3 linked regions of the Drosophila melanogaster genome follow. The protein of the gene in region 3 interacts with the protein of the main gene of each other region in a pairwise test. Each region holds a gene or a part of one and is shown on either strand. Other genes may lie near its edges.

Region 1 (10,470 bases), on a different chromosome or scaffold from region 3:
CTGCTTTGTTGGTCATTCTATTGGAGCAGTGAACCGCAATACTCGCAGTACATTCCCCGATTTCACCGCTTGCACAAAAATAAGCATAATAATATAAACAATATAGAACTTCTCTGATTGCACTACTCTGTGTGCTAAATGCATGTAAAGCCATTAGTTTAGTTGCAATCTAACAAAAACAGATAAATCAGCTACCTTTTAACAATCTAATTTTATTCATTTCTTTCTTTCACCAACATACCTTTACCATACACATATATGTACATTTGCTTTAGATCGCCATGAACTTTTTTAGATTAGTCGTAAACTCTGAAAAGTGTACTTACCTAAAAGAATATTTGATCGCAAATAGTTTATAGAATTCACGTATGTTTTCTTTTATATATTTTCAAATTTTGGGACTTAGGTATAGGTAAATAATTATTATATAAATTAGTTTGCATAACAAATTAATATTACAAATCATTAAATAACTAAGGCCCATTTTTCAATCATCATGGTCTGCTGAAATTAGCTTGTGTCGAAAGAAATCATACGTAACTTTCTTAGTTCACAAGTTGACTTCATCGCAACATGACGATGAATAGATGGCCGAAAGGTTAATGTTAATGTTGGATAAACAGCGTTCGGAAGAGCTCGTCTTAGAGCTGCTGTTCCGGAAACGATTGTTTAAAATTCCTTAGTTTGGCAGCTTAGAGCGACAAATGAGGCCACTCCCCAGGACACTGGATTTCGTAATCAGGCTTTGGGAAGCTGGTGGTTTTCTTTTGTTGACGATCTTTGTACCGTTCAAGAGCTGATTTGAACGCCGAGGAGCATCTACAGCTGGATATGCGTTGCCCTTAGAAAATAATTATGTTTTGTAATTGTGACAGCGTGGACCCAAAGTGTGTGCTCTCGGGCAGGTTCTTGATTTGCAACAACCACCGCTGGCACTCGGCGCACTTCCTCTGTCGATCCTCGCGTGTCACATCGACGCCCAGGCCATTGGCGGCCCAGGAATCGAGGTTCTCCTGTATAGTTGGCAAGAAGTTCGACAATATAATACGCAGGGTATCACAGGCTCTCGTAAAGTGGCTAAAATACAGATTGGGATTACTTGGGCTACCTTTTCGTTTATGTTTATCCATACTTACAACTTGTGTTGGCTTTGCAAGAGTTCGTAAATCTCTGGCAGCACAAACATGCAGAAGTCCAAGTTCCACGAGGACCTGTTATGGGATTAAACTCCTATTGTTATCGCTGTCGCTTTAATATTTATAATATTATGCTTACGGTTTCTCCAGTATGGCTCCGAGTAGATCTATGAAAATGGATTTGCCACAGCTCCTTGCCTGCCTTAATGCGCCCAGCACATCGTGAGACCTACATGATTACCAATGGATGTGTCAATCGATCGAATGTTTCAAATAGACCGTTTAACCAATACTTACCTTGTTGCGTGCCGCAGCAAATCCAGGCTAGACTGACGATTGCTCAGCTCCTGCAGCACAGCCTCGTGTGATCTCGAGAGCATATCGAAGTCGTGATCATCCATTATAATGCGATTGTTCATTGGCTGCTGCTGCTGGAATAATTAATTAATTAATTAATTAATTAAATAAAGGGCACCAAGCGAAGTTTTTAAGCACTCACGTGAATTTGCTTTTCCTGAGTTTTAGCCTGGTGCGACGTACGCATATCCAGGGTGGTGCGGGATCGCATCGGTGGCTTTGTGATGATCTCCACATTGATATTTTTCTGTTGATTGTTCTCCTTGCTGAACTGACTCTGGGCCGAGCCCATTGGCCGCTTGTTCTTGTTGACGACATTCGAGGAGGAGGACTTTTTCAGTACCATGTTGTCGTCCAGCTTGTGCAGTTCCATGGAGCTGACCGAGGAGACCTGGCTTAGCTTGCTGCCACCAAAGATGCCCGTGGACGTCTGCTTCGCGCCGGCCATGTTGTTCGTTGTCCTCTTGTGCAGGGTGGTGGTAGTGGTCTTCTTGATCGACTTGGACGAGGCGTTGATCGTGGAGGTTGCGGGCACTGGCTTATAGTTATTGGTAATGTAGTTCAGGTTCTGATTGACCGGAAAGTCCTCGGCCATTTCGTAGTTATCATAGTTGTTGAGTATTGGCGGATTGCTATCGTTCAGATTGAACTCCAACTGCTGCACATCCGCCTCCTCGTTCTTGTCCAGCGGATATAGATTGTAAATGTCCGGCTTGTGCAGTGAACTGGGTTCGTTCAAGGACATCAGGCGGGTATCGATGGCCCCGTAACTACTGCCATAGCTGGCCATATTATCAGGCACTCTGGAGTACTTACCCTGCCTTAGGGCAGAATCGATTGCTCCGCCATATACGACATGATGCGGCGCCAAGTCCGCCGACGATCCGGCCATCGAAGCCAAGTGGACAGGTGGCAACGAGGACATTGGAGAAGTCTCCGCCGACTCCAGCACCGCCTCGTTCACAACCTCCAGACTATAGTTGGGCGAGGACAATCCACTCTTGTCGCCCTCGTGCTCCTCCTGCACCTGTGCCGGCTTGGCACCGCCAACTGACAGCCTGAACTTCTGGTTGCCACGTGTAAAGCTCTTTCGGTTCGTCGAGTTGTGCTTAAAGTTGGGTAGTGAGTTTGGCGGCTGATAGAATGGTATCACTCGATCCAGACTGATGGTGTTGATTGAAACGGTGTCGATCTCATGACAACCACAGATCTACAAAAGGAAGTGCAATGGTTTTTATTGGATATTCCATTTGTAGACATTTTACATTTAAGATCTAAGATTGGTTTTTCAAAAAGTGAAAAACCTAGATTTCCTAAATTTGAATGCGAATTGATTCGGAAACTCAACAAGTTATGACATTCCATATTTGTGCCATTATTTTTAATGTTTTGCTCAAAATACCGATTATTTTTTTCGCATAAAATCAGTGAAACCAGTTTTGGCATAAAATGCAATATTTAAGATTGGTTTTCTGGGTATAACTTGACTAAAAATGGCCACACCGCCAAAAGAAATACCGTTTTGTGCTCCTAATTACCAATACTAACCACCCCTTTCACTTTTGGACGGATTTTGTAAAATTAGTTTTTGGCCAATTTTTCGCCTTTTTTATAATCAAAATTTTATCATCAAAATTTGCAAAAAATTTAAAAAACCTAGAATTCCCAAATTTGAATGCAAATCGATTTGGATTAAAAAAACAAACTCAACGAGGTATGACACTCCATATTTGGACCATTTTTTAGAATATTCTGACCAAAATACTGATTATTTTTGTCAAAAAAGATAACGGGGATGACGAGATTTGGAAGGGTGCTTCGCTTAATGAGTAAGTGCTTTCACTTACCAACTTATTGTTGACCACTTTCATGTCCGCCAAGGAGGACCAGGTGCTTTTTATATGGTCCAGCTCACGATCCGGTTCCCATCCAATTACCGAAATGCCCGAAGAACTGCCAACAAAAAGGCACTCGCCATTGTCACTGAAATAAATAAAGTTTAACATGCAGATAATTAGAATTTATGCACTTTTTGGCAAAATTACTATATTACTATTTCTTTTCATAAATCAATTCACGATTGCGGATTATTCTTTGCAGGACTCACCTAAAGGTTATACACCTGATGGCCTGGCCATAGAAGTGCGTGGTCTGCGAGACGAGCTGCTGGTGTTCCAGATCGTAAATGGAAACGGTGCCATCGACGCGACCGGCGGCCAGCAGGAACTCAAACGGATGGAATTGCACGCATGTGATAGCCGTAACCGGCGGATCGGCTATGAACTCCATTATCTGTTTGCTCTTCCGTATGTCCCAGATGAGTATGGAACCCTCCAGGCCAGCAGAGGCAATCCAAAGACCATCCGGCGAGAATTTTACGGAATTCACGTGGGACATGTGGCCGCGACATACCTTAATGCAGTTGTTTTCGTTCTGCACGTCCCAAAGCCTGAGATTGCAGACATATGAAAGTTAATAGTTTGCTAAATAAGCAACAAAGCATATGTAATTCATAAAGTTTCAATAATATATGTAATCTCCTAGTTAATTCATTTATTGTTGCTCAATTTATTGTTGTTTTATACATTTCTATGTTAAATAAAGAGACATAGTTGAATTTGAAATGTGGAAGATAAGTGTAATTTCCATAATTGTTCATTTTTAAATTTAATCGTCTGGAAAATGAAAACGGGTTGGAGTCTTTGCTACGGCTTAGCGAAGTTCCGAACCGAGGTTTACGTCCGCGATGCACTGCTTTCCAGCATTTTGACGGCACTACTTTCTAGTGCTCACAAACGTATGAATGCGGGCAGTATATTTTAGTGCATTTTCATGGGTTGAACCGATTAAACGATTGCAAAATTATCTCGGCAGCGAATAGTGATGCACTTTGTACCACTGATACTGGGTTAATCTGTGCATATTCGGGCATACCATACCATCATACGGCGAATCTACGAGAACTGTAAGTTAACCCTTGTTTAATGTGTGTGTGTGTGGGCCATTTCACGCGGTTCGAATAACTGTGCTGTCGTCACTGTGCAAATGTATCTTGTATCTCGGATTTCGGCGATTTCGGTGCCATCCGAAAAGCACTTGACTATGAACCGTGAACCCCTGGACTTGGACCATATCGCCTGGGTAACGTTCTTCAGCCGAAGAGTCCAGAGTTACACTCACATATGCGAGGGCAGGGCAGATAGCATTATCGCTTGAGATTAAGTACGATTGAAAAGTAGTGCTACTCTCCTTTCTTGTTCGATTATTAGCCAACCAGTTTATTTTCATCGGTTCATTCGTGTTTTACAGCCGAAAAAGCGTTGCCGCAGAGACCGGATTTGTGCAGCGAAACCAGAAATTGCGATTGCTATTGACCAATAGACAGACCATGTCCTCATCCGATGGAAAACTTCGTTACGATGGCCGTGTGGCGGTGGTGACGGGAGCTGGTGCCGGTTTGGGCCGCGAGTACGCACTGCTCTTCGCGGAGCGTGGCGCCAAGGTGGTGGTCAACGATCTGGGTGGCACCCACTCCGGCGATGGAGCATCGCAGCGGGCCGCCGACATTGTGGTGGATGAGATCCGTAAGGCCGGCGGCGAGGCGGTGGCCGACTACAACTCGGTAATCGATGGGGCAAAGGTCATCGAGACGGCCATCAAAGCTTTCGGACGCGTCGATATCCTGGTCAACAATGCCGGCATTCTACGCGACAGGAGTCTGGTGAAGACCAGCGAACAGGACTGGAATCTGGTCAACGATGTCCATCTGAAGGGCAGCTTTAAGTGCACCCAGGCGGCATTCCCGTACATGAAGAAGCAGAACTATGGCCGCATCATCATGACATCGTCCAACTCGGGCATCTATGGTAATTTCGGGCAGGTCAACTACACTGCCGCCAAGATGGGCCTCATCGGATTGGCCAACACGGTTGCCATCGAGGGAGCCCGCAACAATGTTCTTTGCAACGTCATCGTGCCAACTGCCGCCAGTCGAATGACCGAGGGCATTCTGCCCGACATTCTCTTCAACGAGCTGAAGCCCAAGCTGATTGCTCCCGTAGTGGCCTACTTGTGCCACGAGTCCTGCGAGGATAATGGTAAGTGGGATCCGAAGTTATGCGAGAATTGCATTATCTCAGAATTGATTATCATATCAATTTGTATCAATTTAACCCTTTGAGAACTACAAAATTATGCAATTTTTGGCCAACCACTGCTAAGTCATCTTTAATATGTCCAGTAGTCCAATCCAAATGGTCAACATAATCTGCCTGATTAGGGAAATTCATACTGATAGCGTTTGAACTTAGACCGTTTATCAGGAATATGTGTACATGTGTGTATATATAGGGTTTATTAAACGTTTTCTCTCTCCCTCTTCTCCGATCCACAGGTAGCTATATCGAGAGTGCCGCCGGCTGGGCCACCAAGCTGCACATGGTTCGCGGCAAGGGCGCTGTGCTGCGTCCTTCGCTGGACGACCCCGTGACCATTGAGTACGTCAAGGATGTGTGGTCGAATGTGACCGACATGTCCAAGGCCAAGCACTTGGGTGCCATCGCAGAGGCCTCCGGCACCCTGCTGGAAGTGCTTGAGAAGCTCAAGGAAGGCGGCGGCGACGCCATCGAGGATGCCTTCGAGTTCAATAGCAAAGAGCTTATTACCTACGCCCTGGGCATTGGGGCATCCGTCAAAAACGCGAAGGACATGCGCTTCCTGTACGAAAACGATGCCGATTTCGCCGCCATTCCAACTTTCTTCGTTCTGCCCGGCCTTCTGCTGCAAATGTCCACCGACAAGCTGCTCAGCAAGGCTTTGCCCAACAGCCAAGTGGACTTCAGCAACATTCTGCACGGCGAACAGTACCTAGAGATCGTTGACGATCTGCCCACCAGTGGCACTTTGCTGACCAACGGCAAGGTCTTCGATGTTATGGACAAGGGATCCGGCGCCGTGGTCGTCACCAATAGCGAGTCGTTCGACGAAAGTGGCCGCCTGTTGGTGCGCAACCAGAGCACCACTTTCATTGTCGGCGCTGGCAAATTCGGAGGCAAGAAGGATCCCATCGCTGGTGTAGTTCCGCTGCAGCCGGCGCCCAATCGCCAACCGGACGCAACCGTCCAGTATACGACCAGCGAGGACCAGGCGGCGCTGTACCGTCTGTCCGGCGACAAGAACCCCCTGCATATCGATCCCCAGATGGCCCTGCTGGCCGGCTTCAAGACACCCATCCTCCATGGACTCTGCACACTGGGCTTCTCGGTGCGCGCCGTGCTCGCTCAGTTTGCGGACAACAACCCGGCTCTGTTCAAGGCTGTCAAAGTGCGCTTCTCCGGACCCGTAATTCCGGGCCAGACTTTGCGCGTGGACTTGTGGAAGCAGGGCACACGCATCAACTTCCGCACCGTGGTCGTGGAGACCGGCAAGGAGGTCATATCCGGCGCCTATGTCGACCTGAAGAGCTCACAGGCCAAGCTGTAAGCGCGGATCACCTAGAGACACATAGTCTGCCTTAGTCGCAATGGATTATCATTGACTTTATAATTCGTTTCGCGTCCGTTTTTTTTTGTACATACACTATAACAAATATGCCTATACATATGCAATTGTTTAAACGCCCGTGGTGGTAGAAGTATTTTTTTGTAACACTTTTATAAAACTCCCAATAAAACATCACATAACTGAAAATGCAATGTTGTTTAAGATCATGGATGTAATAGATCTGAGAGATAAGATATATGAGATCCCAAAAGAAATATCAACTTTAGCTAAACAACACAAAGTGATATTATCTTTGTCAGCCTGTCCCCTTTTGTGCAATGTAGTGAGTCATATTATCTTTGTTTTACACATATATAGGTCAAGTGATATCTAAGAAAAGACCATATAGATACAATGCATCTAATATGTATGTGCATTAAACCGATATAAAATTTCTAATTTCTAAATATGAGATTTTTCTTTTGTGTAGATTATTAAACCCAAAATACGCGATTCTATAGGATTAAGCACAGCTAAAAGAGGGAGGGAGAATATCGCCATCCCTTTTCAATCAACGAATAAACTTTAAATCTGCCACTTGATAAGGAAACTAGAGCTTCCGAATGACTCATGGGTTACTCTGACTATTTATATATCGGTCCTTGGCTCACCTGACGGTGGTATCATTGCTCCCGGACACCACATATTCTCCAGACGGGTTAAAGTCCAGAGTGCGAACACTCTTCATGTGGCCATTTAGCGTGGAGTAGATTTTCTGTGAATTCAGATCCCATCTTCGGATTATACCGATGTCGTCGGCGGAGTAGACAAAGTTATCCTTATAAGCAAAACGCACGCAATCGATGGAACGATTGTGGCCCGTCAGAGACTGAAAGGAAAGGGTCACCGATTAGTACATACATATATTTAGGAAGTAGTTAGTATATTCACCATAAAGCACTCATTTTGACCAATCGCCCAGAGGTTCACATTGCGATCCTCTCCTCCGGTGACCAGCACTCGTCCAGTTTCGCCAAGATCAAGGCTCGTGACCCTGCTATCATGTGCCTTTATATCGTCTGCAAAGGATGAGAATTGGTTAGTCCTCTTCGGCAAGTTTTCATGATATGATGATATAGTTAGTATGTTCAGATTAAGCTATGCTTTAAACAACAGCTTTTCAAGATCAAAAGGAAAACTTACAACAAATATATAATAATAAAAATATGATATTTTCGTATTAGTATATACTCAATAAATACAATTTTATAATGATTTTTGAATCTTTTCAAAGGAAACTGTGTCGATATAAATAAATAAGTACCTTTTACGTTATCCACATTTATGAATGACAAGGATTACTAGTATTTTGAAAAGCAAAACAGATAAAATAAAGCTAGGAAATCGATGTACATACATACATATGTACAGTATATATGTACATACATATGTACGTAAATGTACGCATTTCAAAGAAATTGAAAACTTGTTCCCAGATTAAAACCTTTTTGAACTTCTATAGTTCTTGGGATTGAATTGAAGTTTTCTAAAGGCTATATACAAATATTATTTTAAAGTCTGAAGAAGCCGTATGATGTTTATTTGATATTGATATTGCGTTGTAAAACAAGATATTAATTACTTTAAAACGAACAATTCAGCTGCAGCTGCACTCAATGTTCATATGTATCTACATACATACATATGTGCACCTGGGGATTTTCCTATTGGATATCTGCATTGTTTATAAGAACGCGTGGTATTGTTTTAAAAGTTACTGAAGTTGCATGCAACACTAGAATTTACGATAGGATTTCAAACACGCACGCACACACACATATATACATGCAGTCGTATTTCTACGTGCTTGTGTGTGTGTGGGAATATACAACGGTACTTTCGAACATTCGGTTTACTTACAGATCTTGGATATCAGTTTTCTGGGCAGCGCCATAATCAATCAAATTGTTCTTATATAAATACGCTGGCAGCTGCTAAATTCGATCCGAATGCCAGGTTTTCGAATAAATATTATCTTTTTGTAGCAGGTGTGAGCCAAAGTCTGTGATCAGCTGTCTGGGCTCCCGTCTTTTTTGGGCAAAATGAAGCCCACTTATTTACGAAACGAACAACAAAACGCACTGAAACAAAATCACACGGTGTGTAAAACCTTTACGAACCGATATCACCGTGATCGCATTGTTTAAAAACAGATAATCTAAATGTTTAATCGGACAATTCTTATTAACAAAAACAAATGCACATCACATTGTAATTACAGCGACGACGAGGGCTGCAGCAAGCTGTCGATGAACACCGATTACCAGGGCCGGCATAGCGATTGCATTTTGTACATTTAAGTAACAGTCGTTGGTTATAATTATTAATACATATATATATATATATATTGAAAATAATTTGTATTATAAATTTGTATTATTAAATAACAATAATAACAGATAATGTGAAAAAAAATTAATTGATATTTTACTAAATTATTTACAGCCCTGAAGCTGTAAAACGGTTTACAAAAGTATTAAATTAAATATTTAAATAGACTAAATGGAATAGAATATTAAATAGACTGAAGTAACAAGAATTGAATTGATTCTGATACATGATTTCAGCAACGATATATCGTTCACTGCGAAACGGTATTAATTTAGTAATTTTCATCGAACCCATGCTGCGGTCACACTGCGGCATTTCCTCAAAAAAGCATCATCATTGCCTGGCGAATTCGAGAAGGAAAAAGCTATAAGTTAATATTCTGCAAGTACCTCAGCTATTGAATAAAGCAACAAGATGTCCTCACGCTACGATCGTGCTGTAACCATATTCTCTCCCGACGGTCACCTCCTGCAGGTGGAGTATGCCCAGGAGGCCGTTCGCAAGGGATCGACTGCGGTAAGTGCAATTTAGTACCGTTCGCAGTGCCGCCAAACCGAAACAAACATGGACTTTTCCAATTTTTCGCCTCGCAGGTCGGAGTTCGCGGCGCCAACTGCGTTGTGCTTGGCGTGGAGAAGAAGTCGGTGGCCCAACTGCAGGAGGATCGAAAGGTGCGCAAGATTTGCATGCTCGACAACCACGTTGTAATGGCTTTTGCCGGTCTCACGGCCGACGCTCGCATCATGATCAATCGTGCCCAGGTGGAGTGCCAGAGCCATCGTCTCAATGTCGAGGATCCCGTGACCCTCGAGTACATAACCAGGTGAGGATTTGTGAAATAGTTGCGCTCTAAATTAGCTTCTATATGGTTTTGGCCTTTCATTTTAGATTCATTGCCCAGCTGAAACAAAAATACACGCAGAGCAATGGCCGCCGTCCCTTCGGTATTTCCTGCCTTATTGGCGGCTTCGATGCCGATGGCTCTGCGCATCTGTTCCAGACTGAGCCGTCGGGCATTTTCTACGAGTATAAGGCTAACGCCACCGGGCGATCGGCAAAGGTTGTGCGCGAGTTCTTCGAGAAGTCCTACCGCGAGGAGGAGGTG
Region 2 (9,379 bases), 6.7 Mb from region 3:
GACACGCAGCGTCTCAAAAAAAAAAAAAGGAAAAAAACTAAATAAAATCAGAGAGATAGAAAATAAAAAGTCAATAAAACCAGTTAAGGTCAGCCCCAGTGCTGCTTGTGTAATCAGCAGCATGCTTTGCCGCCGTTGCAGATGCTAAATACATTTTTATTTATGAATAATGTGATGTGCTGACGCCGATATTGATGTTGCTGCCGATGCTGATCACGTTGCCGCTGCGCTGCGCCACAATAAAAATGAAAATGAAAATAATAAAGTCTCAAGTGTCGTCGATCGTCGATGGTCGGCGGTCGATGGCGTTTGGTAGTCACTGTGGCACTGTGTCAGTGGCCGCCGGGGGCAACCGGTTGCGCATCCTTGACATAAAAAAGCGATCTCGACCAGCAGCTTACATCTTCGGATCGATGCGGATCGTATTGACCAGCGAGCTGAAAAATTTATACGAAATTGCGTATACGCAATATGGGCAGAGGTGGTGGCGAACAAAAGGGCGCGGCATCGTTATCGCTCGATAATCGTGTACAAATTTATGTTAATGACAACGTGTTAACAATTTGCATATCTATATCTGTACCTGTACCAGTTACTTGCCAAATCGCATATGGCCTGGCACTTTGTCTTACCAATAATTCAAGTTTCATGTTTTAACAACTTTTCTCTCTCTTTGCGTTCCAGATGAAAGTCACCCTGGCAATAGCGACTTTCTGCGTGGTGATGGCCTGCAGCCATGCGGCCAGAACCACAACGACAACAGCGACCAAGCCGGGTCGCTTCCTCTCACTGCCCGTGCCCGCCAAGTGCGCTAGCCGTAAGTATATCTATCATCAAACACCATTGCACACATACCCGAAACCAATCCCACAATGGCGAAAAGTAAAAGTGACGAACGCGGCGAGAATATTAAGCGGCTTTGATTGCCAAGTTTGCACTTGAAATAGTTTGGCAATGCGACGTGTAGCTGTTGGTGTAACCACAAATGTTGAGGGGATTTTTTTTTTTTTTTTTTGCTGAAGGTCGTCGACGTGTGAGCCAGCTTTATGGCGCCCTATAAGACTCACTTTCTTTGCCCGCCTTTTTCGTAAACAAATTCCATTTGATATAGTATATATTATATATATTTTTTAAATTTATTATATCTAATGTTAATGTGTAAATGGAGTTGTTCGCCATCAAATTAATTGATTTCCTCTGCACTTTTAAGCTGATAATTGTTGAAATCCGAAGGGGCTTAACAAGCAAATAGTTCAGTTGAAGTGGATTTTCCTCATTTATTCTACGTATGATTGTCGCTGCCAGTCATCGCCTGAGATTACTAACCATTGCATCAGGGCTTAGAGATCGGGCTAAAACGGGCGAGACGCCTGAACAATAGCATCATCGCTGCATATCCGGTACACTAATGAACACTTTGCAGTTATTGCTAATTAGACAAGCCCTAACTCACACCGGCGCACACACTAACGTATTGCTAACACATACATACATGCACACATTGAGACTTAGCCAAAGCCGTTAAACATGCAACTTAATTTTTGGGGCGTCACCGGAGTTGCATATCCAGTTTTTTGAAGCCAGTGCCGTTGGCAGCGACTTAGATCTTTCATCTCTTAGAAAATTCCAGTTATACAAGCGCAGGTTTTTTAGGTCTGCCTTCCAATAGTTAAATCACCTGATTAATAATTCCACTTAATTACCTTTTTGTAGACAACTCTCTCAGGCGTGCATTCGCCCGATAATTAAGATTCGAAAACGTTTCGGTTTTTCTAACTCACTGTTGAAAGATGCCAATCGAAAAAAAAAAAAAAAACGGCATCGACACCCGGATTATTACGCAAGTTTCGGGTTAGGAAAATATATATACATATATGTATATATACATACAGTCAAGATGAGTTTTAGCCACATTATCGCCTTGACCCGCGCACAAAAAGGGCCAGAAATGTGAGGAAATGGCAAGTGGCAGCCGAAGCGGCAGCAAAATAAATAATAATGTGCAAACAATGGCCAATAAGGCTATTATGTGTTGGACTTAAGCTGATTTGACGCTTAGCGTTGCCCGCCTGCGAAGAGGCGTGGCAGGGGGGCAGTTGCAAAAGTGGCCTAAAGCGGGGCTAATGACGCGTGCCAACTGTGGCAACAGGCGGGTATATCTTTACTCAGTTTTTTTTTTTTTTTTTTTTGGGCGCGTCCGAGGGGCGGACATATCGCACATTGCGAAGACTTCCAAAGAGGCAGCTAATCAAATGGTAGCTGGCAGTTGGTAGTTGGTAGCTGGCAGTTGGCAGCTTGCTCAGGCGAAACAAGTTCGAGGATGGAGTTGTCAGGCGGGGGATCCCATTGTTTCCTCGAAAAAAAAAATAAGCTAAAAAGCAAATATATACGCGGGGAAGCTGAAAACCTTTTGACACCCAAGACAAAAGGAAAGCGGCGGCGTCGGCGGCAGGCGCAAAAAGAAGCATGCTGCATAAATTGCGCGGATTGCGTAACACGCCGCCACCGGGGAAGTTGTGTAAGGCCCGGGGCAGCTTCATCCACTGGCATCCACATTGGTATATATAGTATCTCTTGATTTTCGGCGCTACTCGCTTTCGGTTTCGTTTGCCCATGATGGGGCAGGCTGTGAGATATTGCACTGGGCCTCCGACTTCAGATGGAGATGGAGATGAAGATGAGGCTGCAGCGGCGCGGAAAACCGGTTGCCACATGCCACACCCACACGGGAAAAAAATTAGTTAATTCGGAAGCAAAGGAAAAATGCATCTAAGTTTGAATCTTAAAGTTCAAAGGTCTACTATTATTCAATAGTTAAATTATTTTTTATATATTTTGGAAAGCCATAACATACCCCTACTATTTTCTCAGTGCAAGCATGAAAACAGTTTCCGCTAACCGACTTTCTCCTCGCTGACCCGCAGGTCCCAAGGAGTTCTCCTACCGCGGCAAAAACATGTTCCTAACCACCCACGTGCCCGCGCTGGCCAACAAGAAGGTCGATTGGTTGGATGGTCGCAATCTGTGCCGCGAGTACTGCATGGATCTGGTCGCCCTGGAGACTCAGGAGAAGAACAATCTGATCTTCCGCGTGATCCAGCAGAACGATGTGCCGTACATCTGGACGGCCGGACGTATCTGTGACTTTGCTGGCTGCGAGAATCGTCCAGATTTGGAGCCCAAGACCGTCTATGGATGGTTCTGGTCCGCAACCCGCGAGAAGATCCAGGCCACCAACCGCATCCCACAGGGCTGGGGCTACAACCCATGGTCGCAGACTGGCCACAAGAAGCGCCCGCAGCCGGACAACGCCGAATACGACATCAACCAGACCAAGGAGCAGTGCCTGTCCGTGTTGAACAACGTGTACAACGATGGCATCGCCTGGCACGACGTGGCCTGCTACCACGAGAAGCCCGTCATCTGTGAGGACAACGAGGAGCTGCTGCGCTATGTGGCGGCCACGAATCCCGGCATCCGTCTATAGAGCGGCTCGCTGGGCGTTCGCTGTTTGCCTAATTTTAAAGCTACTTATTATAATATTCCTTAAACGAGTTTTTGTATAATTTTTGTTTGTATGTGTACGACGAAAACGGAAGAAAGCAAGACAAATAGACTTTAGAATTTACAATTTCCGATCCTACAAACACCACAAAACCACCCACCCACCAAATCCACAATACTGCTTTCATCACACCTTAGCACCCAGCACTTAGTCTCACTTCTCCTTCCTCCCTACCTTCGAAACTGCCAATTTTACGCGTAGAATTCTATTCCGTTGTAAACAGTTGAGTCGTTTTCAGATCGCACCTTAAATATTTATAGGCAATCCTAAATTGCAAGTGTTTCGCTCTGACCCACTGTCTGTCATTCAAGCAAGAAATTCGGAATCTCTTTAGTATTTTGTTTGAGACACTCATGTTTTGTCCACAAAGAGATTGAATAAAATTTTGTAAAGATCCCATAAAAAAGAAAACACTTGAATTAATACTTTGGTTTTTATTGGCAATGGTTGTGCTGATGATCGGGTGTTGTGGAGTTGTGATGATGATGATGCCTCTTTGATCTGCGATCGTCATGTGAAGATCCCGAGGAGCTGTGCTCTCTTTTAGAGCGCACGGAACTCCGGTCACTTCTTGACCTGGAATGATGATTCCGCTGTTGGTTGTTTTTGAGATCCCGACCTCGGTTGCCCAAGTCCTTGGAGTTTTCCAGTTCAACCTCGGGGCTTGCCGACCAGCGCCAGTTCCTGCCGTGCTCGCTGTGCTCATCCCAACTGAAGAGATAGGGAAAGTATTTAAATAGTTTGCCGGAATATAAACTAATATTATATTTAAATCCACCTGGGTGTCTTGGCCGTTGGAGTTTGGCTGGAGCGTCGTTCACTGCGTGGACCGCTGGTGTACTCCAGTTCCGTGTTGAACAGGTTGTTCGGATTGCCAAACAGGTGCAGATAGCCGCAGTCGTTACCTTTGGGACATTTACGTGTTAAGGACAAACCTTTAAGAAGTCACAGATTGTGTTAAAGAAAATGGTATTAAAACATATGAATGGGCTTGCTTTGAGTTTTGGTTTTTTAAAGGATACGGCTTCCTCTTGGCATGCAGTTCACGTACCGCAGACTGCGCCGCGCCAGGTCCTCAGATTGGAGAACTCCACGTTTAGTCGCTTGGAGGCGTAGTAGCGACCTTGGAGATTGGTAAATGCGCGAAGTGCAGATCTGAAATCATGACGTACGCTTTATAATAATTAGTTTATGACCTCTTTAGACATTATTAACATAACATAAAAGTATGCAAGCGCAGAGACAATACAATATATATATTTTTTGGCGAGAGAACAGGTATAAATTAAAATTGTGAATTATATGAATTAACTTTTACATGAAAATGCTGGGAAATAGGCTGCATTTGAATATCCGAATTGCTTGCATATAAACAATGTCATATTAATTAAATAATAATAATGATAATTAATACTCTCAGACAAACCGTTCGTTTGTGTACTCCACAAAGACGTGACCCCTGAGGTGTTCCAGCGTATTGCGCACCGTGCGGAAGTTGACAATGGTGCCGAACTTTCTCAGTTCTTCGACGACATCGTTGAAGAACTCATCGTAGTCGTGGCGCAGATCCTGTTCGGTCAATTCCAGGTGTTCCTCCGCCGAGGCGTACTCCTTGTGCGTGCATCGCTTCTGCAGCATGGAATGGTTGAAGAAGTGCCGGATGAGAAGGATCCTTCCCAGCATCGGGCGGCGATGGTTGAAGGTGCAGGCGTGACCGTAGCGGCAACAGTTGGTGCGGCTAAAGAACTCGCAGGCTCGTTCCTCCGGATGCGTCTCCATTACACGCAGAAGGTGGCTGGGTGGCTTCTCGATACGCGGGTTGTTCAGATACTCATCCATGCTCTCCATCATGGCATCGAATTCGGCGGCAGCCTTGGCGGCTTTTCGTGTCTCTTCCTCGCGCTGCTTCCGCTGTCTCTCCTCCCGTTCCGCCCGCTCTTTCGCCTGTTCCCGCTGCAAACGCTCCACTTCCTCCTGCTCCTGACGCTTCTTCGCCTCGTCCATTTGGAATTGTCGCTGCGCTGTGGCTTCGCGTCGCAGCCAGGACTCCTCCGCCAACTGGCGCTCCCGTTCGTCGGCTAGTCGTTGGAATTCCTGCATTTCCTCCTGTTCCTGCGACCATTTCTGGTACTCCGGCTGCATAAGTCTTTGGTTTTCCGCCTCTTCCTCCAGTTTATCACGTTCTTTGGCATGTTTTTGACGACGCCGCTTCCTCTGCTGCTTCTTGATTAACTTTCGCCGTGCCCTTTGTATAAATTATATACATTAAATTAAATTATACATTATATTTAAACAAATTTATAGTTATTTACTTCCTTCCCGGCATTTCGCAAAATCAAAACATTGAATTTCGGTGAGCAGCTGAAACGCATTTGTGAGAACACAGCTGATTAATACCGTGTACAGGGTCTATGAAAAATACCACAAAATACTGCAGCACGAAAAAAATTACATTTTTACATTTACATATTTTTCAAAGTTTTCATAAATCTGGCAAATCAAAAATGTTTTGTAAGTTTTCCCTCAAAATTAAGATTTCATATCATAAATGTTTAAAATTTACGAATTCTTACGATTTTTGTAATTCAAAATTTATTATAAATTATAACAGTCTAATATAACACCAAGTTTCGTTCTTGCTATAAAATGTAAAATAACATTGCTGTATAGCACAATGCCAAAAGCCTCAGTTCAACTTACACTGCTATAAATTATGTTATGTGATTTTTATAGCACTGTGTCGAAGAGCTTTTAAAATTTAATAGAAGCGCTTAGTTTGAATATTTTCTTGTTTATCAGATTTGTATATTTTGAATTGAACCGTTTATTCAAGCTTTTTCTCAATTCCCCCTTCCATCGAACCAGAAACTTTCGAACTCGAAAATTCCCCTCTGCAACAATGTTGCCAGCAACATTGTGTCCGGCGATTGCCGAAGATGCGAAAAAAAATCAAATTCAGTGATAAAGTAAAATTCGTGCGCGTCGGTTCACCTACACTTCGTGTCGCCAGAGAAAGCCTTTCTCCTGGCTTTCTCTCTGAGCTCTCCTTTTGCGCTCGGCTCCGAAATCCGAAGTCCGGAATTTGGACTCCGGCTCAAGCGCCGAATCGCCGAGCTTGGCTCACGGAAAACCAACTGAGTTGTGCGAAACTAAGTCAAAACAATTGATGTGAATTCTCGCGGCACAACTTGATATTAGATAAATGAAATAATTCGCGCCGCTGGCACTTTGAACTCGTAATCAGGTCGCAAGCATATTCACGGTTTTTTGTGTAGTAACCACAGGAATTCAAATTCATATTCGTTGAGATTCTCGCAATGCGGCTAATTGGATTTATTCTGAATTTGGCAGCCCTAACAGGTAAGTGGTTCTTACACTGGGAGAAAAAGAAAACAAATGTTATCTAAATACATAAAATAGCCTGATTCTAAAGCTAGCAATTAAGGGATATTTAGAAAACAATATTTTTGGATTTGATGCTATCAATCCATAGATGCTATATTAGTTGTAATAGTAGATTTTTGTAACCATCACTTATTGAAATGCAATTAAATAACTTAAATATAAACTTAAAGAAAGAAGAACATATATCGCAAATTAAAACAATATGTTCTTTACTTACAATTTTTTTCTGTACGCCTAAAAGGGGCATTTAATTTTCAATAATAAACGATTTGACCGCATTTGTTGCTCTAGTGTTACATTGGCTGAGGTGGTCATCGAGTTCTGGAGGGGATGTGGATGGGGATGAGGATGTGGCGACCTCTTCCGAGTTACGTTCTGCGTTTTATTTTCGGACCCATGAACGGTGTTTATTATGTTCTTGTCTGGTCGATGGACAGTTACGAGCTTTAGTAGTATTCATAATGTGGTTGTTGTGGTTTTCCGTCTTCCTCGTCGTCGTCGTGTCGTTACGTATTTATCAATATTTGCCCTCTGTATTTAGTTTTGTGGCTCAAGTGTCTCGTGGCTAATAGAAAATCGATGCTGGCACATTGTTGCACATTTCGCTGAAGTATCTCGAAGATACTGGGAAAGTATCTTGCCGCTTTGCAGCCCTTTTGCGCTGTTCTCACTGCTTTCTGTTGGATTTTTTGAAGTCGCTGTCAGTCAACGATGTTTGCTCTTAGTCTTTCGATCAATTTTCACTGCCTAAAAGCTGTCTGAGGGGTGTTAAGTCGCACTTGAATGGCATTTTCCATGGCCTGCCACATGCCTCTGATTTTCCATGGAACCATTTTCCCGTTTTCCCGTTTGCCATGGTCCTCGTCTCCGGACGACACTTCAATCTGCATGCCCCACATTTATGTGGCGCTGCGTTTTTGGGCTTCTCGTTGCTCGCTGCTCTTTGATTTCTTTCGTCCTTTTGGCCCGCACTCTGCTCACTTCGTCCTGCGTCCTTGCAAATATTTAATTTAAGCCTGCTGTCATCTCTCGCCGAAGGGTATCAACATTTGCTGTCGCCTCTTGTCGCGCAGTAAAGTGGCAACAATGGTTTTATTTATTTCAGCAAAGCATAAATGATTAATGTAATTTTCATTTGCTCAACAAATCTATTTATATGAATAAACTTCGCATTTTTGTAAGCAACGTTTTTTTATAATGGGCAAGTGCATGTCCTTAGTTAGGGACTCCCAACTTCGCCTTGTTTATATACCCTTCACTTTGACCATTCTTCGAGTGGATACACTGCAGCTGCACTTGCTTTTATCCCTGGTAACTGAATCCTTTTTGCGCCCCATTCCGTTTATTGCTGTTGCTCTGGCCCACTTGCGGTTTTGTTTAATTACGCATATTACTCCGCCTTTCGCCGCCAGTGTCATCGCAGCCCATCGCATCCTTCCGTTGCATTCGCCGTCCCAGAAACCGACACATCGCCATATTCCCAGTGCGAACCCCCCCCCCCCCCCTTTAGTTGCTGTTTCTGTTGCTGCGGTCACTTACTGACTGGGACGAGTGTCTTTGGTTGGATCTCTCTTGAGGCTTGTCAACGGCAGGGTGAATTTCCGGAGACGCCTGAGGTCGGTAGATGGAGTCGAGTTGTTTTGCGGTTGCCTCGGGCACTTCCGCCTGCCGTTTGGGGGTTGCATGGGTTTGGGTTACGTATTGTCAAGTGACCAACTGGCTCGATCTGACCAACTGGCTTTGAGGATGACCAAGCTGGCAGCTGGCAGGCGGCAGTCGTTGCCAAATCGGGCTGGTTAATTACTTTGCTAAGTGCTGCTGTCCCATCTCGCGCAGTAAAGCCCTCTGTACATCTCGAATTTATCATATTTACCCAGTAAATTCCACAAATTAAAATCAATACGAAGCCTGCGGCAGGGGGCGCAATCATTAATTATACAAGCGGCCGATGCTGCTGATGCTGCTAATGAGGTAAAGTGTCGACAGCAACGCCCCCAGTGAAAGAGTGTCCCATTACTTTCGACCGCCACTGTGCGCCCTCATCGCCGGGTGGGTGTGCACTTTTAATTGAGGGAAAGGTCAGCGTCGCATCGATTTAAATGCAAAGCGAACCGTAAACAGAGCTATGGACACTGGACCTGCTCTAGATAATGCCGGTGAATTTATAACAATTAGATAATTATTTAATATTAACTGAGCTCATATTGAATTATATGGTTCTTTCAGGAAAGTGCAAAAATTGGAATGCAGAATTGAAGCAACTTATTTTAAATTCGCAGTTATTTCTTTTTACCAAAAAAACCTAGCTAGTGTATAAATCAGCATGTAAATCACTCCAAATCCAATGTGCAGTTTCAGTGTGACGAGGGGTTTGTTGGGGCCGCGGGTTGTTAGTTGTAGGCGTAGATA
Region 3 (13,007 bases):
CATTATGTGACGAGCACGGGGCCAGTCTCTGGTGGATCCATGTCAGCCTCGTCTTCAGATCGTGCACCTATGTCACTGATGAGCTCTAGTATTCACAACAGTTACGGTGCAAATATTGCAGGAGGAAATGGAACTGGATCGAGCATAGGAGTTGGAGGAGGCGGTGGAGGAGGAAGTGGCCGCGGTTCGCCCATGCCGCAGGTCCATGTGGAAGTCCTTAGCCATGGAGGCGGCGGAAGTGGCAAGCGCAACTCCAATGTGCCTGCGGATTTTCTCTGCCCCGGAGACCTTAGAAGAGTCACCATCGACAAGCGCGACAAGTCGCTAGGTATCACCATTCAGTGCAACAACAACGGCGGCGGAATATTTGTGTCAACCGTCGCTGACAAAAGCACGGCGATGCGTGCCGGTCTCCAGGTGGGCGATCAACTCTTGGAAGTATGTGGCATTAACATGCGGGCGGCCACGCAGGAGATTGCTGCCAATGTGCTGCGGCAGTGCGGCGACTCCTTTACAATGCTCGTTCAGTACAATCCGGAGAGTAAGTTTATCGGTCAGTCCGTATACTCATCCCATTCTAATTGTGCTGTTTACTTTTTTTGCAGAGTTCCCTTCAATTGAGTACGAGGGAGCGCACAATTTGGAACCAGAATCTCCCATCAATCATTCGGGCTCCCCGACTCCGCGCAACTCTCCCCGTCCTCCTGCCCGCAACTCGCTTTTCCCGTTGCCGATGCAGCCGCAGGCTCCTTCAACGAGACCCGGCTCAAGGGCTCCGCTGTCGCATCAGTCGATTAAGGACCAGAGCTTCACCGATAGCCTTGAGAACCAGTCGGATATCAGCAGCAGCCAGGACATGCCTTCATCGGCGGCCACCACCACCACAACGACTGCCTCAGCCACGTCAACGGTGTATGATGAGGAACCTAAGCCATCCTTGCCGCCGCCACCTGCATCCGTTCCAGCAGAGAGTACGTAGCCACCACTCTACACCCACTACTAACCACACTCCCGGGATAGTAGCATTTCCCCATAATTCGTGCCTTCGACGGAGAAGGTAACCGTGCAGCAGGAAGAGTTTCCGGCTGTATCAGGTACATATTCTCAGGGCCGTAAAGAACAAGGATTTTAGATAAAATGGCTCGAAATATTTTAACTCCCAAAATCTGTAAATTCTAAAACGGAAGTGTATGAGCGTTAGTTTCACAAACACATTATGTATCGCAGCTTCTTCCCTACTAACAAAGCCGTCAATCTTTCGTATTTTGCACATGATATGACTTGGACTTTCAATTCCAGCTCTAAGGTATGTGACTCTGCACATGGACAAGTCAAAGAACCTGGGCATCAAGCTATTTGGGGGCAATAAAGTTGGCATATATGTGCATGACGTCGCGGTGGGATCGCCTTCTGATCATGCTGGAATTCGCAAAGGCGATCAAATACTGGAATACAATGGTGTAGATTTGAGCGGAGTCACCGCTGAGCAGGCGGCCAATGAGATTTCAAAGCTTACGGATACGGTCACCATGTTGGTACAGAATAAGTTACACAGTAAGTGGTGAATTCTTTCGTTGATTATGATTATGATATAATGTATTCCCTACAGCCCTAAAGCAAATTAAAGACGAGCCTGGCGACTCCTTTTATATTCGCGTGGGGTTTGACCGGACTGGTGAGTTGAACGAGGACGATTTGCGCTTTGTTAAGGACGAGGTGCTCTACGTGGACAATACGGTTTTTAATGGCACCTTTGGCTTGTGGCGAGCCTGGAAGCTGGATGCCATGGGCCATCGGAAGGAGTGCGGCATAATACCCAGTCAAATGAAGTACGTTGGCAAATTACTTAAGTTTGAATTAGTTGCACATATTTATATATAATTGCAGGGTGGAGGAGGAACTGCGTTCGGGTGAGGTGGTCGACTGTGATACGGGAACGGCCAGACGCGGCAGCACTTCGGCCAGAAGATCATTTTTTCGTCGCAAGAAAAACCAGCGCAGCTCGTCCCGCGACTCCACGGAGATTGCCAGTTTCAGCAACACACAGCTTAGCTTCTTTCCAGACTTAGGTCTGCTCAACGATGATGGTGGAGCCCTTAGCTACCAGCGTGTAGAGCTTTTAGATTGTACGTACATTTTTTATGAAAACTAAAAGAAGTAAGTTAATGTAAACACAATCTTTTAGCACCCATTCGCCGGCCCGTGCTGATTATCGGACCGTTGTCCGAGTGTCTGATGGTTCGCCTTACAATTGACTTCTCCAACCTCTTCAAACTGTGCGAGGTGACGGCCATGGACTGTTCGCAGGAGGCCATGGAGGAGGGTCTAAAAGAAAACATCTTTGTGGATTATCGGCGGAGGGGCAACAAGTTTGAATGCACCACCGTTGAGGCGATTAGCAATGCCTGCAAAAATGTAGGTAAACTCCAGAAATTTTCAGACATCTTCATTAAATATCCCTTACAGGATCGACGCCACTGCATCCTTGACGTTTCCATTTCCGCCGTGGAGCGTCTGCAGCGCCTACAAATCTATCCAATTGTCCTCCTGCTGCGCTTTAAGTCTGCCAAACAAATCCGAGATATTCGCGACTTTGGCACCGACAAAATCTCAGCCAAGGCGGCCAAGGAGATGTACGAGCGGGCCATGAAGCTCGAGACCGACTATAAGCAATACATATCAGGTATAACTTTATTTTAATTAATCACAATTCAATGTGAATAATTGCTTTCTCATTTACCTGCAGCCGTAATCCCCGGCGTCAGTATCAAGCACATGTGCACCCAAATTAAGGATGCCGTCGACAAGGAGCAGGACAAGCTACTTTGGGTGCCCGTATCGAGTGGCTGATCCGATCGGATTGCCGCCTGGACGGACAGTTTGGACATTGGAGCATCCTAGTTTTAGTTATTAGCACACAACGCGACACTCACGATTAGTATTTTCAATGCGCATCAATAGTATCATATTTGTATTTGTTTTGTTCAACGCAGAGTATTCGATTGGCGTCAACTTGCAACTTGGAAGTTAGGGCGCGGTATTTCTACCTGTTTCTTGTCTCTGTCACCTAATTAATGTCTATAGACTTACTCTTTATTTGCGGTTAGTCCGACCGCTCTGACGGCAAAATATGGTCAGCTTTAATCACAAAAATGGAAAATGCTTCCACAATTTATATATCTAATTTATATATACCGTTTGGAACTAGATTTCCTTCTCTGGCGACATTCTAAGCCAAAAGTCTGTTTGTATGCAATTTATTATTATGTAATTGTAAGTAAAGGCATCTTATATTTTTTTATTATTTACCCAAACGATTCGATAAACTCGATGGCAATAGAGCGTGGCTTTAAAGCCTTCAACTTTTCAACTGTGTATATTAAATAGTTTCGACTATCCAATTACCTTCGTGAACCGCTTCAAAATCAAGCTTTACTTAAAACTTATCTAATTCTGGCAACTGCCTTTGCCCGACTACGAAATTAAAAACGCGACTAGCTAAGCAACACTAGAAATTTTATTTAAATGTGTGATAGACAAAATGCTATCACTAGCCTTAAGTGGTAAATGGTTAAACTGAAATGAAGTGCCTTAAATGCCTTCAAATTGCTTAAAAAAAAAAACAGAAAACCTTTTCTACAAAATAAATACAATTTATAAATCTAATTTATCATCGTACACTTGTGTACATAAAGAGTAAACAACAGTAATATATCAACGTATTAAATACAATAAAATCTATTTTATACATAAGCATTCTAAATATACAGACTACATTTTTGCAATAAATATTTTTCCAGAACGCCTATGCTTTCGTTTAGGGGTCCATCAAAAGATTTGGGGTTTATGTTATGGCCACGTTTATGGTTATCCTTATAGCTATCATTTGAATAAATAAATACATAACTCTAGTAAATACCATCGTACGCAGCTCAATGGCCGCAATGCGTTCGTAAGTATTTCAAGGTACATTCGCTCTGCAGTTTTTCCGTAAATCGGGCATTATGTTGGACTATATTTACATTAACATAACGCCGCTTTTATGATTTAATTTATAATTATTGATTACTTATAGGTTTAAAGTGAGATTGAAGGTCTGTGTGAAATATGATCGAAGAATGATCGAAAGTTATTAACTTGATCGGTTGAAGTTTCTTAAATGTGTATTGTAAGGACTAATTGGAAATTATAGCTTAATTCTATAAAACCTAATACTACTGTACAATTGTTCACAGGAGGGAATCTAATGGGATTAGTCCTCCAAGAAATCGAACTCATCACGTGGGCGATACCACTCTTCCGTGGCATGTTCGTAAATGGCCCGTTGGACCTCCGCCTCGGCAGCCTCGATGGGATCGGATTTTGGAGCATCGAAGCGACTGTCGGACCGTGGACTACGTGATGTTGCGCGGAACTCCATTGGTATATTGTAGCACTTGCATATGCAGCTGGACGGGAATCGGAACCAGTCGGAGAATATCCCGCGGCACTCGTTATGCGGATCGTAGGCCAACAATCTGTGGAGGCGGTACTGCTGTTCACATCTGCATCCATCGCGGCAGAACATTTGCTTGAACTCGTGGGTGCACTTCTCCCAGTGGACGTACTGCTCGAAGGGATAGAGATTGAGGAGGGCTAAGACCTCGCCGCGGGTATTGTTTGCCCAAAAGGGAGCCACCACTTCATCCTTCACGGGACAGGCATTTCTGCAGAGAGATCAATATTGTATTATATAATTTGATAAGCAAATGGGTCATATACTTACACTCCACGCAAGTTGCTGGCCACAGCTACGGGCTCTTGCTTCATGGCATCCTGAAACAGCTGACCCTCCCTTAGCAGTCCAGACTTGCTGGCGCTTCCGGTAGAGCTGCTCGCTGGAGTTCCACCCGCCGGAGGGGATGAAGCTGGAGCACTTGTACTGCTCGTCGTGGTCAAGGGTCTGCGCAACCTCTCCGGACTAAAAAGCCCGCTGGAGGTGCCGGAGAAGAGCGAGGCGAAGCTGACGGGCGTGGTCACGGATGCGGGTGAGTACTTGGTTACATTGCGACGTATCAGCAAAGTTGCTGTTGTTGTGGTTGGTGTCGAAATGGTACTCGAGACTTTTGGACTGGCTGCACTGGTGGTCGTCTCTGCCGGTTTCCTTTTCCTGATGGGTAAAGGTGTCGTGCTCTTGGGCACAGATGTGGGCTTCCCAGTTGTGGCTGTGGGTGGTTCTTGTGATGGACTTGCCTCTGCGCTTAGATTACGAAGCCCCAACTGTGGTGAGTCAATGATCTGTATATTTTCACCAGCTGCGGACGAAGGTTTGGCAGTGGACGTGGTTGAAAGAACGGAAGGGGACACCACTTCGTAGACGCTGTTCGATTCTGGACTGGGCTGGATCTCCACAATGTCTGTTTCCGATTCGGGTTTTTCGTGTAAAGGTGGCGCAGTTCCTTTAGTAGTACTTATCGTACTATTGGTATTTCCAGGCGTTGTGTCGGTAACCTCATTTGGAACTCGTTCCGTGGTGCTACTAACTATTTCCGGAGCAGTGGTTGTAGTCGTCGTAGCCTTAGTCGTACTTGTGGTAATCGTGGAGACAGGTCGAAAGTGCGGCTCCATTAGCACATCGTTGCTCTTGAAGCTTCCGAAATCTTCACGCTCACGATCGCGATCTCTGTTGTTCATCAGATACTTGGCACTCCGCCGTCCGCCATCCTTGCTATATCGCTCCGCCGTCTCCTCAATGTCGTCCGCATCCACCTCGTTGTTCTGGATCTCATCCCGCAGGATGGAAATGTGCCTTACATCGCCGTACATGCGCTTCATCAGACCCTGGTTCTCGTGCACGAATCGTCGTACAGCGTGCCATGGATAAGCGGATCCTGGCAGGTGGCAGAACGCCTGCTGACCCAGGTCGCAGGGAATCGCAGCCAGGATCTGGGCCCTACCACGTCGCGATATCTTCCCATTGGGACTGCACGAGTTGGCCGAGTCGAAGCCAAATCCGGCGGAAGAAAGTGGTAGAGCAATCGTCATTAGGATCAGCAAATACCCGATAACCTCGATCTGCAAGAAAATATATGGGAAATATAGTCAATTGGTTTATTGTCCCATTTTAAACTTTCCATAATAAAATGTTTTATTAAACTAATCTTTTACTTCGAATGAAAATGCATGTACGTTTCACTTCTTGTATATAAACTGTTTGTTACTTTACACATTTCCTGGTTTTCGAAAGGCTTTTTATCCCATACGGATTGATTGGCCAAATGACCCATCCAGCTAATGGAAGTACTCAGCAGCTCCAGCTGAGCAGAGGAAATCTTAATTGAAACCACAATCGCTGGCTGATAAGCAAATGGCGTGACGCTAAAACTTCAGTTTTTGTAGCAGCATATATTGTGCAGGCAAGTGGGCTCAATGCACCTGGACCAGAGGACAGACTGAATTGGCCGGGCGGCTCTCACTCGGCTAAAACGAATGGCCAGAGCCGGTAGAAAATCAAATTTTACTTTCACGCAAAGCCAACTGGACAATCACAAGTCATAAAGATGATCGATGTGCATTTGCATCCCACCTTCAAAAAAGCAACGCCAGAGAGAATGGCCGCAATTTCAGCAATCATTGCACAGAGACAAAGTTTTAACACTTTCTTTTAAAATTTAATTAAATTATATAGGAGTATATTATGGCTTAAAATTACATATATATATTTGTAAATAAAAGAGAAGTTATAATAGTATAATTTAAAGACTTCTTTTTCTTTGATCAATATCTGATACCAACAAGTTTTTCTTACTGCATGGATACCACCACGCCAGACTAACCGCCGTCGTAGCCACATCACCCTGCCGTACCCTCCACCCCCCGCACCACAACGCACCGCACCACTCGAATGGCTGACCAACAACCGGCAGCTGGCGGCGGACAACTTGCAACTGGACAACACCGGCCACTGGCAGCCGGCGAAGTGAAATGCAAAGAGCAATCAAAAGCGAAATGGGTTACCCAAGTAAAAGTAAATTGCGCCGCGCTCGCTGGAAAAGTCATCGCATTTCCCGCCCCACCTCCCGCGCCCTGGAGCCCTTTCAACTTTCCTTTTCGGTTGCACAATTGCCGCCCAAAAGCCGGGAACATTGGTCTGCAAGTCGGTCCTAATAGGGTCTCTTGGACTCGCAATCTTGGCTCTTTCTTTGACAACCAAACCGGTTGGCCAAAAATCATATGCACCCCGTTTATATGTACATATATCTCATATATGGCGAGCACATATCGATCGCGGGTGAATCACGAAAAGAAAAGAAAGTGATCGGCTCCCTTGGCGGATGTGTGTCCAAAATGTGAGCTCAACACGATTTGCCATGCGGTTAGGTAATAGTGATTATTGATCTGTGTTTCGTTTCGGGAAAATTCCAGCATCATTAGCATACGTAAGCAAGGTCAATGCATATGATATTTCGTAATATTTTCCAGCCAATTTTCGAATACCTTTTCTAAAGTTATCCATTCCATTCAGATTTGAATTTAATATAGATATTACTTTTGAGTATTTTTCTACAAATGGAAGCTATCAAAACAATAATTTCCAGCAATCATAGCTAGAAAAAAGTTGAAAGTCTTCTCCGTTTCTTTCAAGCAAATTATAATTATTCTCACACATCATGTACCCGAAAGAAATTTAAATATCAATGACAAGGTGGAATTCCTGCTAGCGCTAACACCCTTTTCTCCCAATTGGGAAAAGTACTACAATCAAGTGCTCCACGGCACCCAGACCATGGCAATTACGAGAAGAAAGTGATCTGAGCTCTGATTCGGAAACCCGAGGATGAGACCGCAACTTGGGTGCGAAACAAATGGCTCTACGCGAACTAATTTGTGTTGAAAATCAAATCAGGTCAGACCGCAAGAGGCGAAGACGCCTGAAATGGAAAGCAGAATTACTTTCGCTTTGTTCGGCTAAAAGTAAATAAGGCAGCCTGGCATTAGTGCCGATTGTCATGTGCATCGGGACAATTAAGCCGAATCTCGTTCATTAACATTGTCATAATTCTTGGAAGCGCAGAAGCCACGGCGAAACTGGAGCAAATACTGCTGTCAGTGTCCAAAGTCGGCGAAACAAATCAATATGTCCAATCAGCCGTGAGAGCTTGCAACTGCGCCAGTCTGTGCTGGCAGAATGTCTTGAATCGAGCTGGTCTCATTCGATTTCACACAGCTCGAAAACATAATTCAAGAAAGTAAATTAATTAAGAAAAAATTAATTTCTTTAGTCTAGCCAATTTTGAATTAGTTCTCTTTAGTTTTCTATGCTCAAGAAAATATAATTAAATATTCTTCTTAGAAACTGTATTACTACTGGTAGCCATTTGTGTTGGCTCGCTACTTTTAGTTGCTCTTCTTGTGGCAGAACTGAATGCGGCGACGCAGTGCCGATGCTGCGGTGCAGTGCAAATGGGCATTAAGTCAACTCGCATCGAGGAAGACATTTGTCAATCTTAGACGATGCCGAAGCTGTCGTCAGAGAAACGTATTGCAACACTTTAATGTGTCAGCGACTTTCTACGAAAACCCAGTCCGCACGGTGGGCAGGAAGGCGGGCGGAGGGGGGAGGGGGTTGGCCGCGAGGAGGAGACGTTCCAGTCTATGTCTTCATTTCCCAAATACAAATACAATGTTGCCCGCCAGCAGTCCGTCCGCCCGACTCTCTTGGCGAGTGGCTAGAATGAATTATTTATAAATTCAATTGGCTCTGGAAATGAAGTTGATGTTACACTTAACCAAATTTGGCCTGACCGCTGCTGTTTCTGCTAATTGCCAGGCGAGCAGCTGGCAGCTGGCGAGTGGTGAAATTTTCCCCATCAAAACAAAAGACTCAGGCGACAAACTCGACGAGGTTGCAGGCCAGCCGAAACAAAAGACTCAGGCAACAAACTTGACTTTGACGTGCTGCAAGCTCCTCACTTCCCTTCCCCTTTCGAGGAATAGTGCATATTCATGGCGAAATGTAAAATTAAGCGCAAAAATTTCACTGATTGGACACCGCCGGAAAAGGCCGCGAACTTCGTTTCCCAATTTTGGCAAGTCGATATTTTTGTTTTTGGGCAACCGATTCGCTTTCGGTTTGAGTTTTGGTCTCGACTTTTGGCTTGGGCCAAATCCAACTAGTCGATCCCAAGTTAGCCGCATTGCTCTCGAAGAAAGTGAAACTTTTTATTTTATTCCGCTTCTCTCTCTCTCTCTCTTTCTGTCTCTTTTACACTCCTTTGCTTGGGACCGGCAATGCCAGCCAGTAGAGCAAACACAGCGGAAACTTTGAGCATTTTCGTTGTTGGTTATGCTTTTATGATTGCGTAGTCATGCGTTAAAAGAAAACAAAACCCACTCGCGGACAAGGGGCAGAAGTTGTTAATATGCATAAAACGCTTAGCCCAAACGTTTATCGATTTCAACACATTTTGAGAAAAAATGACGGGGACGCGTGACCATCTTTTAATTGCGATTTCATTTTCATCAATGGCTTGTGGCCCAAGGGGACACCAATAACGAAATATGCCCAGTCGATTGATTAATTGATTTTTGGTCAATTAAAAGGAGATTTTATTGGTTTAGATATGAATATTTTGGTTACTTCAGTAAACGAAATGTGACATACCAATGAAAGTCATAACACAATTTTATACATTGGTTCAAAGTTGTAAAACGGCAAAAATTGCAACACAATACACAATAGTCACTGTTTTCTTTTGTTAATAATAAGAACTGGTAAAATTTCATTTTTTTTTTTATTTTAATTTCAAAGCATATTGAATATTTAAGTATTTTTGGGGCTTTGAACACTTTGCATTGCTTGTATAACATCAATATGTTTACATTGTGGCCTGTATTTACCATCTCGAGCTTCGCTGTTGTTTCTTTCGCTGTTGCAATTGTTTAATTTTTGACACTTTCTTATGCAAGACGACCGCCTTGGGCGATCCCCACTTACCGTTATTAGTCTAGTGATCGGCGATCGCCTATCCATTTGGGTGCGCACCATTGTTTACTTTCACTCGATTGACACTCGCGTCGATGGTAAATGGCAAATGGCAATGGCAAATGGCAGATGCCGACTGCCGAATGCAAAATAGGCGCAAATAGAAATCTGTCAAAGGATTTGGCAATGTTTCACGCAGATTTCACACTCGCACGCTCACACACACTCGCAGGGCAATGAAAATTAGTGGCAAAGTCCATATTTCAATACAATCGCAAATCGTCTGCAGTTTCCGCGACCTCAGGGGTCCCGCTTCTGTTTTTTTTTTCGTTTTTGTTTGGTTTTTTTTTTTTATTGTTTTCTTTGGACCGGGCGCTTTTCCCACTGCGCCGAAATCGAGGAAATCGAGGAGAGCCGACGAAAAGCCTGAAATCACGTTCACACGCCTCGAACTCACGTTTGCAACTGCGACGCCACCAGCGGCTGATCAATCCCAAGTCCCACGGCAAACCGTCGGCCTCTCTCTTTCTCTTCCACCGCCGCGCACCCAGCTCCAATGCACTGCAAGAAATTGGTGGTGCTTCTATGGAAGTTAAGCGCACCCATACGCAAAACATTCAAATTCTTGAACTACATGTTGTAAATCTAGAGTTGCGAAACTGTGCACTTTGTCAATCTCTGGATACCAACTTTTTTTTAACAACTATACATTATTAAATAATAAATATATGTTTTCTTATTTAACGTATATTGAGCATAATGCGCTCAACACCTTTGTTATTGATTCTATTTTTGTTTTAGAAATTGAATTTAATGTGCATTAATTTTTCATTATAAGAACAACACAAGTATAAGCACTATTCAACTAAATTTGAATATAATATTTGATTAACTTATAATCTCAAAAGCCAAAAAAAATCAGTTTTAAACATACATTTTGATGGATTCCCTGAAATAGAAGAGATTAAGAGACTTTTTGGAAAGTAATAAGAATCTAGAGAACTTAACTTAATGAAACTAAAGTTACTTAAAATTAAAGTCCTACAAAGCTAATACTAACTATTTTAGCTGTTACTTCCATTTTTCTTCCGAGTGGAGAGAAAATCGAGTGACGAAGTGAGAGAGCAACGTTGCGATTGAGCAGCGAAAACGCTTCTTATTTTTACTGTGCGGCTTGCTTTTGTTTTTGTTTTTGCCTTTTGGTTTGCTTTTGCAGGAAAACTTTTTCTTATTTATTATTCGTCGACAAACGCTGAAAAACGACCCAGCGCAAAAAAAAAACTAAAAAAAAAAAAAATTAAAAACACGGGAGTACATCGACAAGAAAAAGCGCCACACGCAACGAGGAGTCTTCGGAAGACAGTCTTCGGTTCTCGTGGTGCCTCCACCGCTCCAATGCTCCACCGTTCCAATGTTCCGAAGCGGAGAGTGCGTCTTAGTAGGTCAGTGGTGGACCCGAGCATTTGTTGTTGCCTGGGCTTTGTTTTGATTCATTTGCGGCCGCTGGTGTTGCAAGTGTTGTTGCTGCTGCTGTTGCTGCTGGCGAGGATTAGACGCCTCGTCGAGAACAGAGAGCTTGTTTTGGCGCGCATCTTCGGGACTTGATTGCGGGAACTGCACTTAGCGAGGGCTGACTGTGTAATGTAATAAATAAATATAAATAAATACCATAAGCCATCGAACAATATATATATATGTTATATTTTCTTACGTTAATGTTTTTTTCATTTTATATACATATTTTTATTTTATTTGTTTGTTTTTTTTTTAAATTATTTTATAGTGATATAAATTTATACTATACTATGTAAATGCATTTAATTACTAATTTTAGTATCTATAAGGCGGTGCATAGCAACTTTCGATACTGTTTAAACCACCTCCGCTGACAGCAAAACAAAAAACTGTTGAAAGCGGTCTGCTGTCCAGTCTAACCGCGGTTTAATTATCGTTGTGTGTTTATTATGTCCTCGCCCGCCCCCCTAGTCTGCCCACCGCCCACTATCCACCTCTATGTCTCTCCCGCCCGTCAGCTCCGCCCACGAGACGCCGCACGAACAATATTGTAACCGCTCCTCATCGTCCGTTTTTTATTGGCCACGAAAACTCCCATTGAGTAAGAGTTGCGCCACCAGGTGGTGCGGTGGGTGGTGGGGCGGTGCGGATTGCTTGGCGGATGTAGCTAAGGTCCAGCAGTGGAGTGGGTGGTCGCTGATGGATTTTCCTGCCTTTTTCCGCTCCCTTTTCTGACCGCAAAAAAAAAACTGGTTTTCCCCCAAACAATTGCCAAATAATTGCTATTGCGAAATATTGTGCAAAAGCGGCTGGCTCCACAGCATTCATAAGAAAAGTGCCTAAGTTTGCAATAATGTTGTATCTTACGGTTAAGTTAAAATATCTATGATATAGCCCATGCTAAATCATATCATTTTGTGTGAGTGACACCCGAAATAAAGGAATCGTATCAGCTAAGTGCCATCGATATTTGGGTCAGAGCAAGTGAAAGTGCAAAAATAATAACTGTGGCTGCGGTTGCGCCTGAGAAGCAGGTTCACTTCACTCCAGTTGAGCGCTTTAATCGGAGGTCTGGGCCAGGAAAGTAAAGTGCGTATCGAAACTATAAGACCAATGAATGAATGATTCGAATGTTATAATCTAATCCATTAATATAGCTATTTCAATCTTATTCATAGGGAAAAAGAAATCGCGTTTCTTAGCAACCTTTCATCGTTACTTAAATTGTACTAAATAGCTTCATTGTTCCCTAACAATTAACTTTCATTTAATGGCATTGTATTTTAAGGGACTGATTCTTTAAATTATATAACAATTAAAACTTTTAATGCCATGTAAAAAAATTGTACTTTGTGCAGCCCTGAGTTTTAAAGATGTATAGATTTAATGTAAATATATATATTTAAATTTAACAATTAAAATATATTTTAAAACAAAAATCATATAGCTAAATGTTTGAAAAGACGTTAGGCGAGTTTCATATTGGTCAGCTTCTGTCAGACTTCATGATTGAATTTTTAACACTACT

The links.
Region 1: the proteins of spz4 (region 3) and Mfe2 interact in a two-hybrid assay, tested with the Drosophila melanogaster proteins (one large-scale study listed by BioGRID).
Region 2: the proteins of spz4 (region 3) and CG3294 interact in a two-hybrid assay, tested with the Drosophila melanogaster proteins (one large-scale study listed by BioGRID).

The regions. Positions count from the first base shown.
Region 1 is NC_004354.4:16,266,639-16,277,108, forward strand, and holds Mfe2 (peroxisomal multifunctional enzyme type 2), read left to right. Parts: upstream 1-4,312; 5' UTR 4,313-4,458; intron 4,459-4,765; exon of another isoform or gene 4,766-4,802; 5' UTR 4,803-4,881; coding exon 4,882-5,590; intron 5,591-5,886; coding exon 5,887-6,974; 3' UTR 6,975-7,177; downstream 7,178-10,470. Other genes in the region: kat80 (katanin 80), read right to left, coding at 843-1,077, 1,137-1,211, 1,276-1,365, 1,434-1,567, 1,636-2,703, 3,341-3,476, 3,601-3,942, 7,646-7,863 and 2 more; Prosalpha4 (proteasome alpha4 subunit), read left to right, coding at 9,780-9,881, 9,959-10,188, 10,254-10,470. UniProt on the Drosophila melanogaster protein: Bifunctional enzyme acting on the peroxisomal beta-oxidation pathway for fatty acids.
Region 2 is NT_033779.5:4,791,184-4,800,562, reverse strand, and holds CG3294 (uncharacterized protein), read right to left. Parts: upstream 5,906-9,379; 5' UTR 5,892-5,905; coding exon 5,878-5,891; intron 5,811-5,877; coding exon 4,992-5,810; intron 4,721-4,991; coding exon 4,617-4,720; coding exon of another isoform or gene 4,609-4,616; exon of another isoform or gene 4,588-4,608; intron 4,501-4,587; coding exon 4,344-4,500; intron 4,277-4,343; coding exon 4,000-4,276; 3' UTR 3,982-3,999; downstream 1-3,981. Other genes in the region: slf (schlaff), read left to right, coding at 685-817, 2,925-3,487; fipi (factor of interpulse interval), read left to right, coding at 6,883-6,925.
Region 3 is NT_033779.5:11,499,143-11,512,149, reverse strand, and holds spz4 (spatzle 4), read right to left. Parts: upstream 10,436-13,007; 5' UTR 10,028-10,435; coding exon 9,977-10,027; intron 6,055-9,976; coding exon 4,766-6,054; intron 4,707-4,765; coding exon 4,253-4,706; 3' UTR 3,501-4,252; downstream 1-3,500. Other genes in the region: Dlg5 (discs large 5), read left to right, coding at 1-541, 606-971, 1,300-1,554, 1,610-1,829, 1,888-2,126, 2,186-2,415, 2,467-2,683, 2,747-2,850.